Elephas maximus indicus: one gene and its partner. The protein of the gene in region 1 purifies or fractionates together with the protein of each later gene. This does not show direct contact. Links are inferred from orthologs where the notes say so. Each region holds a gene or a part of one and is shown on either strand. Other genes may lie near its edges.

The links.
Region 2: the proteins of SIN3B (region 1) and SAP30 purify together in Homo sapiens (affinity purification with mass spectrometry; 4 studies listed by BioGRID and IntAct, with this or other methods). This does not show direct contact. The link is inferred for Elephas maximus indicus from reciprocal best matches to the Homo sapiens genes SIN3B and SAP30.

The regions. Positions count from the first base shown.
Region 1 is NC_064821.1:37,015,871-37,022,904, forward strand, and holds the start of SIN3B (paired amphipathic helix protein Sin3b), read left to right. Parts: upstream 1-3,993; 5' UTR 3,994-4,007; coding exon 4,008-4,133; intron 4,134-4,386; coding exon 4,387-4,493; intron 4,494-6,529; coding exon 6,530-6,683; intron 6,684-7,034.
Region 2 is NC_064839.1:69,620,298-69,628,145, forward strand, and holds the start of SAP30 (histone deacetylase complex subunit SAP30), read left to right. Parts: upstream 1-4,793; 5' UTR 4,794-5,032; exon of another isoform or gene 5,033-5,346; 5' UTR 5,347-6,073; coding exon 6,074-6,394; intron 6,395-7,848. UniProt on the Homo sapiens protein: Involved in the functional recruitment of the Sin3-histone deacetylase complex (HDAC) to a specific subset of N-CoR corepressor complexes. Capable of transcription repression by N-CoR.

The DNA.
Region 1 (7,034 bases):
TTATGGTTAACACCTATGCATCCTTCATATCTCAGTTATAATGCCACCTCCTCTGGGAAGCCTTCCCCAAATTCCACTGCTGCTGCTGTTGTAAGCTGCCTTCAAGGCAGCGCAAACTCATGACAACCCCATGTATAACTGAACGAAACATTGTCCAGTCCTGTGCCATCATCACAATTGTTGTTATCTTTGAACCCATCGTTGCAGCCACCATGTCAGTGTATCTCATAGAGGGGCTCCCTCTTTTTCCCTGAGCCTTTACTTTACCAAACACGATGTCCTTATCTTGCAATTGGTTTTTCCTGATGACGTGTGCAAAGTAAGCAAGACAAAGTCTCACCATCCTCTCTTCTAAGTAGCATTCTGGCTGTACTTCCAAGCCGGATCCGTTCATTTGTCTCGCAGTCCACAGTATATTCAGTATTTTTTGCCAATTCCACAATTCAAATGTGTCAATTCTCTTTTGATCTTCCTTTTTCATTGTTTAGCTTTTGCATGCATGTGAGACGACTGAAAAGACCACGGCTTGGGTCAGGTGCATCTTAGTCATAAAAACGACATCTTGGATTTTTTAACACTCTGCTGTTTTTGTGAGATGCTGTTGAGTTGATTTTGACTCATAGCAGCCCATGTGATGGAGCAGAACTACCCCATAGGGCTTTCTAGGGTGTAATCTTTATAGGAGCCAGGTTCGTATCCCACGGAGCCACTAACCTTTTGGTTAGCAGCTGAGCACTTAGCCACTGCACCACCAGGTCTCTCTTTTTTTGAACACTTTAAAGAGGTCTTTTGCAACAGACTTCCCCAACGCATTACATTATTTTATTTTTTGACCGCTGCTTTCATGGACATTAATTGTTGACCTAAGTAGAATGAAATTCTTACAACTTCAATTTCTTCACCATTTATCATGATGTTGTTTATTGGTTCAGTTATGAGGATTTTCGTTTTCTTTACGTTGAGGTGTAATCCATACTGAAGGTTGAGGTCTTTGATCTTCATCATTAAGCTATTCAAGTTCTCTTCACTTTCAGTAGGCAAAGTTGTGTCATCTGCGTCCTGCAGGTTGTTAATGAGTCTTCCTCCAATCCTGATGCCACATTCCCCGCAAGTCCCCAGGGCCACAGGTGGTGTTTTCCATAAATGGTCATAGCAATATTACCCATCGCATGTGCTATTCCAGAACCTAACCCCTCCCCAAGTTCTGGAGTTTACTTCTCCTCCTCTTGAACTAGAGAGGGACTCTGTAACTGCCTCTAGGGAAAGAATGCGATGGAAGTGACTGTGTGATCTCTGAGGCTAAGTCATAAAAGGTGATATGACTTTTGCCTGGCTCTCTGTCTTTGGACCCTTGTTCTTGGAACCCAGTTGCCATATTGGGAGGAAGCTCAAACTGCCTGGAGAGGTCACATGTCAGAGTTCCAGGCAATATCTCCAGCTAAGGTGTCAGCCTACACCTCACTTCTGAGTATGCAAACCTGCAGATAGGTCCAACTGCCAACCTCCAGCCACCCCAACTGACATCGAGGGGAGCAGGGATAAGCCATCCCTGCCAAGCCTGGCCAAACTGCAGATTACTGGTGAGCAAAATAAAATGGTGTTGTCATTTTTAAGCCTCTAAGTCTTGGATCCATCACCCATCTGTCAGTTCGTTATGCTGTGGTGGCTTGCATGTTGCTACTATACTGGAAGCTATGCCACCAGTATTTCAAATACCAGCAGGGTGACCCATGGGGGAGAGGTTTCAGTGGAGCTTCCAGACTAAGATAGACTACGAAGAAAGGCCTGGCAATCTACTGCCAAAAATTGGCCAATGAAAACCTTATGGAGCACAACAGAATATTATCCAATATATTGCTGGAAGATTAGCCCAAACATACCAACTATCATGAAGATGGCACAGGACTTGACAACATTTTGTTCTGTTATAATAAGGTCACTATGGCTTGGAGCAACAAAAAAACAAGTCTCAGGGCAGTTTGTTATGCAGACACAGTAGCTGGAACACACTTGTACCTTGTCTTTGAAGCATTTGTTATACTTGAAACTTCACATTTGTTTTTGTGATTATTTGATTCATATCTACCTATCCTAAAACACAGGAAGCTCTGTGAGGGCAAGAATAGTGTTACTTTTTGTCCACTATTATTGGGTATGGGACCTTCAAACCCTCACCAGATGACCTAATCAGAGTCCTTTGGCCTAGAACATTCCCTGGTAGTAAGGTTGGGAACTGAGTCTCTGTCTCAGTTTCTTCTTCTTTATCAGGGAATCTTCTTTCATGTTCTGGGTACCCAGTCTGCTTACTACTTAAGTGCGTGTGTCACATGGCATGTGGCTAGCTCCACTTTTATACCTGATCCCGGCAGGAGGGATGCATGCAGACCATCGTACCTATATCAGCTGCTACAGGGAGTGATCCATGGCCATGGAAGAATGACGCCTAATGTTGAAGCTGACCTTGCTCTGCCTCTTCTCTGTGTGAGTAAAGTGCTGTTCCACCCAATGCCTGTGTGTGAGTCATGTCTTTCTTGGTGACCCCGGGCCTTGTTTTAACAACCATTCTATACCTGACACCTAACACCACCTGGAAAATGATGCATACACCACCTATTTATTCTCAGCTTTCCTGCACCTCTTTACATACTAAAAGAAAAATAATATTTGGTCATTCATTGAATATTCACTCAGTAAATGCTTGTTGATGAAACTCTGTATCAGGCATTTGTGTTAGAGACAAAACACAAAATGAAGACGATGCACAAGGGACTGTGGGAGGCCAAAGGAGGGGTCAGAGGAAGCTTCCTGAGACAGGGGACATTTGAGATGTGTTTTGAAGGATGTGTAGGAGTTTTCTGGGTGACAAAGAGACAAAACATGACTCCTGGCAAAGGGAATGGTGTGTGCTGATGTATGGGGCCAGGAAGCAGCCTGGCTGGACAAAGAATTGTGGGAAGTTCTTCACACATAAAGTACAATTTGCTTGGGTGGAAAATTCTGCAAAAAAAAAAGTTGGTAGGGGCCAGATTCTGACGATGTTAAGGGGTAGGTGGTTTGATTTCATCTCAGGAAAAATAAGAAGACCTCACGGGTTTGGCAGCAGTGGTGGAAGGATCTTGGCTCTTGATAGAGATGGGGCTGGGAAAACCAATGAAGCTTCTGAACTGGTCCAGAGGGAGGTGATGGGACCAGGACAAGAGAAGTGAGGATAGGAGGAGTGGGACTAAGCCAAGGGCTATTTAGCAAACATTCACTGTACAGGGCCTTTTATTTGGATGCTGCGTGTCTTTATCCCACGGTCACACCAACCCTATAAAGCTGTTGTGTTAGTTGCTGTCAAGTCAACCCCAACTCATGGTGACCCCATACATGCAGAGAACTGCTCCATAGGGTTGTCAAGGTTGTGACCTTTCAGCAGCAGATCACCAGGCCTTTCTTCCGAGGAGCCTCTGGGTTGGTTTGAACCTCCAACGTTTTGGCTACTAGTCCAGCACTCAACCGTTTGCAGCACACAGGGATTGGCAAACTTCTTCCATAAAGGAACAGATGTTCAATATTTCAGTCTCTGCGGGTCTTAGGGCCTCTGTCGCAACTACTCAATTGTGAGTTGTAGCCACAGACGATGGGTAAATGAGCGGACATGGTAGTGTTCCAATAAAACTCTTATTTATGGATGCTGACATTTTAATTTTATAAAATTAAATTTTCATGTGCCATAAAATACACTTTTTCCTGAGATTTTTTTCCCCCAGCTATTTAAAAATGTAAAAACCACTCTTAGCTTGAGGGACGTACAGAACAGATGCTGGGTCTCGGTTTATTCACCTCGGCACCTCGGCACCTCGGCCATTAAGCGCTATTTCATGTTTAGGGGTACAACGCAGATTCCCCAACGAGAGCCCCGCCCCTCCTCGCAGCACTAGCCCTAGCCCCGGGGCGGAGCGTGCGCATGCGCGGCCGGAGCTCGGGCTGGGGGGGCGGGGCGGGCCGCTGCTCCGACTTCCAACATGGCGCACGCTGCTGGCGGTGGTGGCGGTGGCAGCGGCGGCGGTGGCCACCCCGCGGGCCGGGGGCTGAGCGGCGCCCGCTGGGGCCGTTCGGCCTCCGCGGGCCACGAGAAGCTGCCGGTGCACGTGAGTGGCGTCCGCCCTCCCTCGGGGACCCTGTTCTCCGGCCCCCGCAGGCCGGCGCCCCTCACCCCGGCCCCGCCCGGTCCTGGCCCCCGCCCCTTCTTGGCCTCCCCTCCGCGGCCCCGGACCCCGGAACCCCGACCTTTCATCTCAGCCCCGCACAGGTCCGGCCTGCCCACCTCCCGTCGGGGACTCCCGACTTCTGTCCCCTTCCTCCGCTGACCCTGGCCCCCCGGGACCCTCCGCTTCCCCGCAGGTGGAGGACGCCCTCACCTACCTGGACCAGGTGAAGATCCGCTTCGGCAGCGACCCTGCCACTTACAACGGTTTTCTGGAGATCATGAAGGAGTTCAAAAGCCAGAGGTACCCGCGGGGCCCCTCCCCACCCCCGAGGGCCGCGCTGGGCCCCGAACCGGGCTGATCAGGGTGAGAGACCCCTTCCCGGTTGCTGCCCCTCAGCTGAATGACCTTGAGCATGTCGTTGAACCTCTGTGAGCCTCCGTTTCTTGTTCTAATGTTGGGATGGATCGTACCCACCTTGTGGAACTGTGGTGGGGATTCTTGGAAGCAGGGCTGGAATTAGGGGAGATAAGGTCAGACAAATGCAAAGTTGGATCCTGCGTTTATTTAAAACGTTGGCTTTAAATAACTTTTGTTCCTTAAGGAATTTTTTTGCCTAAATTTTTTCTTGCAAGCATTGCATTACAGTGTTTTTCGTTTTGATGATTGAGTGCCCCTCCCCTTTAAATTTTGTATCCAAATTGAGTGCCTCCCTTGCCTCCCCTAGACCCTGTCCTGCTTGGAAATAATGTGCATAAAGCCTTTAGTGAGGGACCTGCCACAGGGAAAGTGTTTAAAGACATTAGCTCTTTTTCTAGGCAGAATCAGGAAGGTTTCAGATAAATGGGGAATCTCAGGATCTTGGCCTCAGGATCAGGGCTTGGAGTGGGCAAGGGGCTTGCCCACACGCACCTTAGGGACAGAGGCCAAGTTAGAACTCAGACCCCCCAACCCTTAAATTCTTGCTTGTCACAGGCCCACCTACATGCTCCACTCTCTTAGGAAATATGGCAGGGCTGGTTTTGAGGGTCCCTGGACGGCACAAACGGTTTGCACTTGACTGCACATCCAAAGTTTGGTGGTTCGAACTTACCCAGTGGCACAGTGGAAGAGAGGCCTGTCAGTCTGCTTCCATGAAGATTGTCGGTGGTGGTGTGAGGTGCTGTCAAGTTGATTTTGACATATAGTGATCCTGTGTGATGGTAGATCTGCTCCTGTAGGCTGTAATCTTCACAGGAGCAGATCGCCAGGTCTTTATTACAGTTAAGAAGACCCCATGGAGCAGTTTTGTTTTGTCACACATGGGGTCTCCATGAGTTGGAATTGACTCAGTGGCAATGAGTTTGGGTACCCCCCCCCCCCCGGTTTCCTTCTACGAAGTAGCGTCAGCCCTGTGCTGGGACTACAGTAATGACAAAGCCCCCCTTTCCCCTCTCATTTGTATGCATTCCTGATACTTGCAAGGTTTTGGGTGTTGATACATTGCAGTGAGTTGCTTGGATCAAAACCTGCGTCATGGGTGATCCTAACTCATACAAAGTGACAGACTTTATCACCTCGCGTGGAGGGGGTTGGCCTCTCGCCACCTCTTGGAGTCCAAGCCCTGCATTTAGAGCTTCTGACATTTTCAGGAGTTGCTAGGTGGTGCAAATGGTTAAATACTCAGCCAGTTACCAAAAGATAGGAGATTCACATCCATTCAAAGGCACCTTGGAAGGAAGCCCTGGAGCACAGCTCTACCCTGACACACATGGAGTTGCTGTGGGTTGGAGTCGACTTGATGGCAGCTGGTTCGGTGCCTTGGTTTTGACAGTTTTCGGAACTGAGCACACATTATTGAAGTATTTTGGGAGCCATGCTGGGGAAATATTCAGCGGTTCTCAGGAAGAGGGTGTGGGGAGCCCAGGCCTCGCTGCTCTGAACAGACATGGTTGTTGTTATTGTTGGGTGCTCTTGAGTCGATTCCAATTCTCAGCGACCACAGGTGATGGAGTAGAACTGTCAGAGTAGAAAACCATAGCGTTTTCTTGGCCATGGTCTTTACAGGAGCAGATCACCAGGCCTTTCTCCCGTGGAGCTGCTGGGCGGGTTTGAACCACCAACCACCTTTTGGTTAGCAGCCAAGCACTTAACCGTTGCGCCACCAATGCTCTTTCCTCGCTACTGTGGAAATAGATCACTGGCTGTAGAATCATGCAGCAGATGAGTATATTTTAGGTCGCTTTGTTGCCAGTCAGAAAGCTCCATTACGTGGTACTGTGGAGAGAGTCGGAAATAGGTTTTGCTTTTGATTTGTTCCCCAAGACCCTCTTGTCCACTTGTGTCCCTCTTTGTCCTAGCATCGACACTCCCGGGGTCATCAGACGTGTGTCTCAGCTCTTTCACGAGCACCCCGACCTCATCGTTGGATTCAACGCATTCCTCCCCCTGGGATACAGGATTGATATCCCCAAGAACGGCAAATTAAACATACAGTCACCACTGGCGAACCAGGTAGGCCGCCGCTGGGCGTCAGTTACCTGAATGGGTGTTTGCGCTGTGTGTCCTGGGACCTGGCCGGAGGGGGCAGGGCGGTATTTCTTTGCTGGAAGCCACGTGAGATCTGGTCTTTTTAAAGCCAGACTGCTGATTTCTGGCACGAATCAAACTAGATCAAAACGCCTCCACAGGCAGCCCCTGAATCCCAAGTGGGTCTGCCTGAAGAGTTTATATCACATGCGTCGAGGAAGCCTGCTCCTACCCCAGAATTTTCCTCGAAGTCAGAATAACTGCATCCTGTGATCTCACTTACACGAAATATCTAGGCTAGGCATAGGATATTGTTAGTTGCTGTCCAGTTGACTC
Region 2 (7,848 bases), on another chromosome or scaffold:
AGGAAAATTGATTATATCTATACCATCTATACCCATTAGATTGTTAAAAGAAAAAAAAAGGCATAAAAATACAAAATTGCAGGAAAAGATGGAACTCTCAGACACTGCTTGTAGAAGTGTAAAAAGTTAGGAACTATCTAGTAAAGTTGAAGCTATGCAATACCCCTCTGACTCAGCAACTGTTGTCATAAATATATATCCTACTGAAATGCACGCGCACACACAAACCCAAACCCGTTGCCATCGAATCTATTCCTACTATGTGAGCCACCCTATAGACATAGTAAAACTGCCCATAGGGTTTCCAAGGAGAGACTGGTGAATTGGAACTCCCGACCATTTTTTTTTTTTTGATTAGCAGCTAAGCTCTTAACCACTGAGCCACCAGGGTTCCACTGAACTGCAAGCACATGTATATCAGGGTACATGTACAAAAACTCCATGGCAACATTGCTTTCAATAGCCCTAAACTGAAACCAAGCCATATGTCCATCAATAATGTTTTTGTTGTTATTACCCATGTGTGACAAAGTAGAACTGCCCCACAGGAGTTTCCTAGGCTGTAATCTTTATGGGAGCAGATCGCCAGGTGTTTCCCTGGGAGCAGCTGGTGGGTTCAAACTGCTTTTTGGTTAACAGCCGACGGCTAACTGCTGTGACACCAGGGCTCCTTCCATCAACAATAGAATAGATAACAAAATTGTAGTTTATTCATACAATGGAATATTTACTATAATGAAAAGAGTTAGTTAAACTATATACAAGTATAGTCTTACAACCAGAGTGAATTAAGCCAAAGATATCAGAATACAGACTACATAGTTCTACTTATATAAAGTTCAAGAACAGGCAAAACTAAAAAAAATATTTTTAGGGGTAAATATGGTAAAATTATAATGAAAAGTGTCATAGTAAATACCATAGAATGATAGAAGGGAGAGGGGGTTTATGATGGGGGCCTTCTGGGCTGTCAATCAAGGCTGACTATGTAATTAAGGGGCCCAGTGAAAAATGAAAATGTGGGGCCTCTTGTTCAAAACGCAGGAGAAAAATTCTTTTTCCTCTCTTCCACAGTCTCTCTCTGGGCCTGTCATGATGTTTTCTTATCTTTTATTGATTCTTTTTAATGGACACAGGGTTTCTTACAGGTTGAATGCAGAGCTTTACGGGGGTCCAGAGCCCTGCTCTGTGACTCAGTGTGAGGGCAGGGGTGGGGAGGAGCCTGCTTACCAGACCAACACTCCTGGTGATGGTGCTTGTGGATCAGACCGATACTGGAGGGGAGGGTGGAGAAAAGCAGGGACGCTGTGGGAAGCTGACTGGTTCATCAGCTACCTGGAGTAATCTAGGGCTTCAAGCCCCAGCTCCTCCTCCAGTGTTCCATTAGACTTCATTTGTAAAACACAAACACAAAGATAAAATTATAAAGAAGTTCATGATAGTGATTGTAGAGATTAAACCCCAAGGGGGTGGGCAGTGCAGTACACAGGGAGAAGGGCCTTTCAGAGCGTGGGGCTCTGTTTGGCTGCACTGGTTGCAGGCCCATGAATCTGTTCCTCACTTGGACAGATCCTTTTCAAGCTCTGTACCTAATTTTGCCCCAGTGGTGCAGTGGTTAAGCGCTCAGCGAGAGGTGGGCAGTTGGAACCCACTAGCCCTCAGCAAAAGAAATATGTGGTGGTTGCTTCAGTAAAGATTACGGCCTTGGAAACCATATGGGGCAGTTCTACTCTGACCTATAGGATCGCTATGAGTTGGAATCGACTCCAGGACAGTGGGTACCTAATTTTGCATTGATAATTTTATATGCTTTTACTTAAAGAGGGCTCCTCAAATTATATAAGCTTGAGGTCCCCTAAAATCTGATTCCAACCTTGACTTGGAATTACACTTGAAGCAAGGAGTCCCCACCCTGCATATGAAATTTATAAAATAAATAATGAAATATGTTAATCATGAAAAATTTATTGAAGAGGTACTTTAAACCTGGTAGTAAGAATTTACATGTCACTTACTCTAGGAGTCCTTTCTACTTACCAGAGATTAATCATTCTCTCCTAGGTGCTATGTCTATACTTTTTCTCTAATTCTATGAAGGCCTGTATCATGCTCTTTTGAAACGTGCTTGTCAAGCCGTCTCCCCTAGTAACAGGTGAGCGCCAAAATGGCTAAGACCCTCTCCCAACTCTTTTTCTATCACCAGGGACTTAGAAAAGATCCTATTGTTGTTGCCTGCTGTGGAGTAACCCCATGCACAATGGGACAAAATGTTGTGCGGTCCTGGACCATCTCCACGATCGGTTATGGATCCGATCATTGTGATCAGTAGGGTTTTCACTGGCTAATTTTTCAGAAGTAGATCGCTAGGCCTTTCTACCCAGTCCATCTTAGTCTGAAAGTTCTGCTGAAACTTATGCAGCGTACTAGCAACGGGAAAGCCTCCGCTGCCAGATGTGTGATGGCTGCAGGAGGTCTTTGGTCACGAATCAAAGTGGGTCTCCCTCATGGAAGATGAGTTGTACCACTGAACCAGCGATACCACAGAAAAAAGATCCTAGTATGCAATATGCAATAAACGAGTGTTTAATTGGATATTTTAGAAAAAATACTGTATTGTGTATAAAGGAGGTATAGCCACAATTCTTGACTTTAGTAAAGTTCATGTAAAACTGATACATAACTAACCCATACATACATACGTGAACTGATTTGGTCACATTTTACAGAAGATAAATTACAAGCTTGTAAGAGCAAGAACTAAACAATACCATGAATTTTTTTTAAATGTGAATTATTTTTAAAATACATTATAAGGAAAAAGGTTAAAACCCAATATCCCACTATTATCTTTGCTATATATATATACTTACAAATACAGCAGAAATTGCCTTTAAGATTGTCTTACTTTCTTAGTGCTGTAACAAAAATACCACAAGTAGGTGGTTTTAACAAACAGAAGCTTATTTTCTCACAATTCCCAAACTAGGTTAGAAGTCCAAATCCAGGGCACCAGCTCTAGGGGAAGGCTGTCTTTTCTGGGGAAAAATCCTTGTCTCAGCTTCTCTAGTCTTGGTCCGTTGGTGATCTCCACATGGCATCTATCTTTCCTCCATGTATACTTGCTTGTCTCTGTGTCTGATCTGTTCTTTTTAAGACACACCCTACACTGACAGCAAAGAAAACCCTATTCCCAAATGTGACTACATCCACAGGTATAGAGTTAGGACCCCAACATGTATTTTGAGGGGGGACACAATTCAATCTGTAACAGTCATTCCCAGATACTATCCCTTGGTCTCCCTCCCAAGATGTGACCACCATCCTGAGCTGGGGTGTATCCATCCATTCATATGTCCTCCTTTTTACCATTTAAGAAAATATATCCATAAACAGTATGCTTTAATACTTTGAAAACAGTGTTGTCTAATAGAAGTACAATGTGACCAATATGTGTAATTTTAAATATTCTAGTAAACCCCACTGCTGTCGAGTAGCACATTAAAAAAAGAAATAGATCAAATTAATTTAATATATTTTATTTAACCAGTATATCAAAAAATATTATCATTTCAACATGTAATCAATGTAAAAATTATTAACGGACTATTCAATATTCTTTTTTTTTGTACCTAGTGTTTAAAATCCAGTGTGTATGACCTGACAGGGAACACAACAGAGAATCCCTGATGGAGCAGAAGAGCAGTGGGATGCAGACCTTAAATTCTGTAAAAAGACCAGACTTAATGGCCTGACTGAGACTAGAAGGACCCTGGAGGTCATGCCCCCAGAGCTTCCTGTTAGCCCAAGGCAGGAACCATTCCCTAAACCAACTCTTCAGACAGGGATTGGACTGGACTATAACATAGAAAATGATACTGGTGAGGAGTGAGCTTCTGGGCTCAAGCAGACACATGAGACTATGTGGGCAGCTCCTGTCTGGAGGGGAGATGAGAAGGCAGAGGGGGACAGAAGCTGGCTGAATGGACACTGGAATACAGGGTGGAGAGACAGAGTGTGCTGTCTCATTAGGGGGAGAGAAACTAGGAGTATATAGCAAGGTGTATATAAATTTTTGTATGAGAGACTGACTTGATTTCTAAACTTTCACTTACAAAAACTTATAGCACAACAAAAAGAAAAAAAAATCCAGCGTGTAGTGTAAACTTACAGCACATCTCAATTTAGATGCTATATTTAATTTTCTTAAAATTTAAGTTGAAAGGACACATTTATCTAAGTTCCAGAGATACTAAACATTTTTCCATTAACTGATTCGCGTCAGTATTTAAATTTAAATTAAGTTCGTTTTTCAGTCGCAATAACCACAAACCGCTCAATAGCTATATATGGTTAGTGGCTACCCTATTGGACAGTGCAGCTTAAAAAACACCAAGTGCTTATTCAGCATCTTCCTTTTTCCCACTCAGTTTATTTACTTTTTTTTTTCCTTTCCCATATCCTGGAACTGAAATACTACACATGAAAAGACGGCTTTGAATAACAACGTAGAGAGCATTTTCAAACATTTTTTAAAAATCGTCTTTCATTCAATGTAGTAAGTCTAAGAGAACTTTCAAAAAGAAGTCCTGTCTGAAATATTAAGTATTTTTATATAAACACTGGGATCGTTAGACAAGGCGTATCTGCTGATACAGGAAGCGCTGTAACGAAGTCACTGTAAAGCCGCAGCTTTCGTGTCAGCCCTCCCATCCTGTACCCCGCCCTCCGCATGCAGACGCGCACACACGCACGCACCCACATACACGCCCTTACACGCGCGCACGTGCACGCGCGCCGGGACGACCCAGGGATGTGGTTTCCATTTCCCCTCGCACTCCGGGGAGCTAACGCTGGCAAGTTCCTGAGGAGCCGGCCAGCCGCCTTGGCTTTGCCGTTGGTTTCACATTCTCTTAGACGCCGCCCTTTTCCGGATCCATCGGAGGAGAAATGGAAAGGATTGGAGGTGTCGGTGAAGAGCAGCCCTGCTACTGTCAGCTTGTCAGTGGCCCCACATCACGAAGCAGCTGACTTAGTGAGCCCCAAACCCAAACGTGTTCCTTGCAGGAATGTAGCAGGGTTTAGACACGGCCTTCAGTGAGGCATTTGTGAGGAGGACCGGTCAAGGGCGAGGGGTAGGGATGGGCGTTCTCCACCGAGCAGCAGATGCCCTGTTAATTGGGTGCGTGAATGGATGGGGCTGCTCTCCCCCGAGGGCCCGGAAAGCACCAGGACGCCCGAGTTCTCCTTGATTTAGGTTTCCCCATAAAGCGCGGTCACACCAAGAACTGTTGGCCACAGCGAGGAAAGCGGCCCCGAAACTCTGTTCCCTTCCCCACCCTCCCACAGGCTTACTCCTCCCGCCTCCGCTGTGCTTTGCCTCAAGAGTCGGCTGACCGCTTGGTCTGACGCGGGAGGTGTGATCAGTACACTGCCACACCACTGACTCCGCGAAATCCCAGGAGCTAACCACGGCCTAACTTCCCAGGAGAGACAAGTGCGGAGAAAACACCGTAACCGCCAATTACACGTCCCTGTTTACCCGGCGTTTCGAAAAACAAAAATAGAGTCCGAGAGCTTCCTCAGCCGGCCCGTCTCCGCGCGATGCATGCTGGGATAAGTAGTTCCTTCAACTCGCGAGGGACCCGGGCAGGGGCAGGGCGGAGCGCCGGTTGACTCCGCCGCAGAGAACTACAGTCCCCGTGGTGCTCCGCGGCAGAGTGGAGGGGGCGGGGAAGGAGGCGCGTCGCGCCTGCGCGGCTCCGGGGGCTGCAGGGAGGCGGAGGCGCGGCCGTCCAACTGCTGAAGACGGCATGTGACAGGGAACGGGATCGCCGCTCCAGGCGCCGCCCGCCTCTGAGTCCCGAACAAACAGTGTCCGCTGTCCCGGCGCCAGCAGACGCCAGCCGGCCCGGGACGCTCGGCCCTTGGCGGTGCCGCCGCCGGACACGGTGCCCAGTGAACTTCCCCGACACCCGGCCGGGCCCCCGCTGTCTCCCTAGCACCCCAGGAGGGAGGAGCAGCGGCCAGGCGGCCGAGGATTTCTGTCAGCGCCGGCGCCCCCGAGCGGGGAGACATGAACGGCTTCACCCCTGAGGAGATGAGCCGCGGCGGGGACGCGGCTGCCGCGGTGGCTGCCGTGGTGGCCGCCGCCGCCGCCGCCGCCGCCGCCTCGGCTGGGAACGGGGCCGGGGTGGGCGCTGGGGCTGAGGTGCCGGGCGCCGGGGCGGTGTCGGCGGCCGGGCCCCCGGGAGCGGCCGGGCCGGGCCCCGGGCAGCTGTGCTGTCTGCGGGAGGACGGCGAGCGGTGCAGCCGGGCGGCGGGCAACGCCAGCTTCAGCAAGAGGGTGCAGAAGAGCATCTCCCAGAAGAAGGTGAAGATCGAGCTGGACAAGAGCGTAAGTGCCGCGGGGGCGGCGGGCTGGGGGCCGTGCGGCGCGCGGGGCGGCGGGGCGGCTTGGTGACGGCGGGGCCGGTTGTGAGATCTCCGGCAGGAAGCGGGCGACACGGTGGCGGCGACGCCGACGGCCGCCCGGGACGCGCAGACGGCCGGCTGCACACGGGCACGCTGGCCGCGGGCCGCCGCCGCCCTCCGCGCGCCTCTCCCGCGCGCTCCCCGCCTCCTTCCTCTCGGGGCGGCCGGGAAGCCAGACAAAGGGCACCGGCGCTCCGGGCCCGGGAGGGGGCTCCGTGCGGCCCGGCAGCCCCTCCTGCCGTGGAGGCGCCTTTGTTTTGTCCCCAGAGCTGGCGTGGGGCCGGCGGAGCAGTTGCTCTCGTCTGGGGGAAGCGGGGTCGTGCAGGACTTTGCCCCACGCGCTAGGGCGATCCTGCTCGTTTCTGGGCTCCATGGCGTTCCCTGGAGCACCGGGGGGGGGGGGACCCGAGCCCCCCTCCCGCTCCCGCCGCCCAGCAGGGAAGCTGGGTGGGGAGCGTTTTCTGCTCCGAACGTGGGGAGCGCGTCGCCTCTCGGCTGTCCGTCCGCTGGGCAGCCATCAGGATTTCTGTTTCCCTTCTTTCTGCGCGTCTATTCTCGGGCCATCCGTGAGGTTTTTAGAAACAGCCATTGCCACTTTTCGGAGCTCTGGCTTGACGGTATATGGATAACAAGATGCCAGAACCTAGCCCACCTCCTTTATTTTTTTCAGTTGCACTTAGCAAGAGATTTAAAAGCCTATAGCTCCGTCCCTAATCGTTCTTTTTAAAGGAATGAACTGTCAATGTATGAAGCCCAGTATTTCAAATATTACTGTCCAGCTCTCAAGACTGTATGTAATTAAAGTTTTTGAAAAGTTAATTTGTGATACTTTCTGCCGGCTGAAACAGTTCTTCAAGTCGTGTTCATGAAAAACTTTTCAGGTGAATAGAAAAATTTCAGGTTGCTTTGATTGGAAAAACATTGTAGATAAATACGGTTCTTTTAAATACTCAGGAAGAAAAGTTTGTAATTGAAATTCATATATGGTTAGAATATGAAATGAGTAGCTCATTTGTAAAATGAATGTAGCTTTTGTATCTGAGATATAATTTGGATAAGTTAGAAAAAAAATCAGGAAGCATATACTAAAATATGCTATTTAAAAAGAGAAGATACTATCAAACAGATAATAAAATTGTGGACAACATCGTCTTTCCCCTTGTCAGTTAAAAATCCAGCAGTGAACTAACTAGTTAATTCAGTCCACCCTAGCTACAATTTGGTGACAAAACTCAGTGGGTTGGAATTTCTCATTCTTTCTCTGCCTCCCTCCCTTCACTGTCTGGCACCCCTCCCCCTCTGTCCTATTAGCTGTGGTTGTATTACCAAGTTTGTCAGGCTTCTAAGTTTTAGCAGGGTGGAAGAAGGGCCTACAGA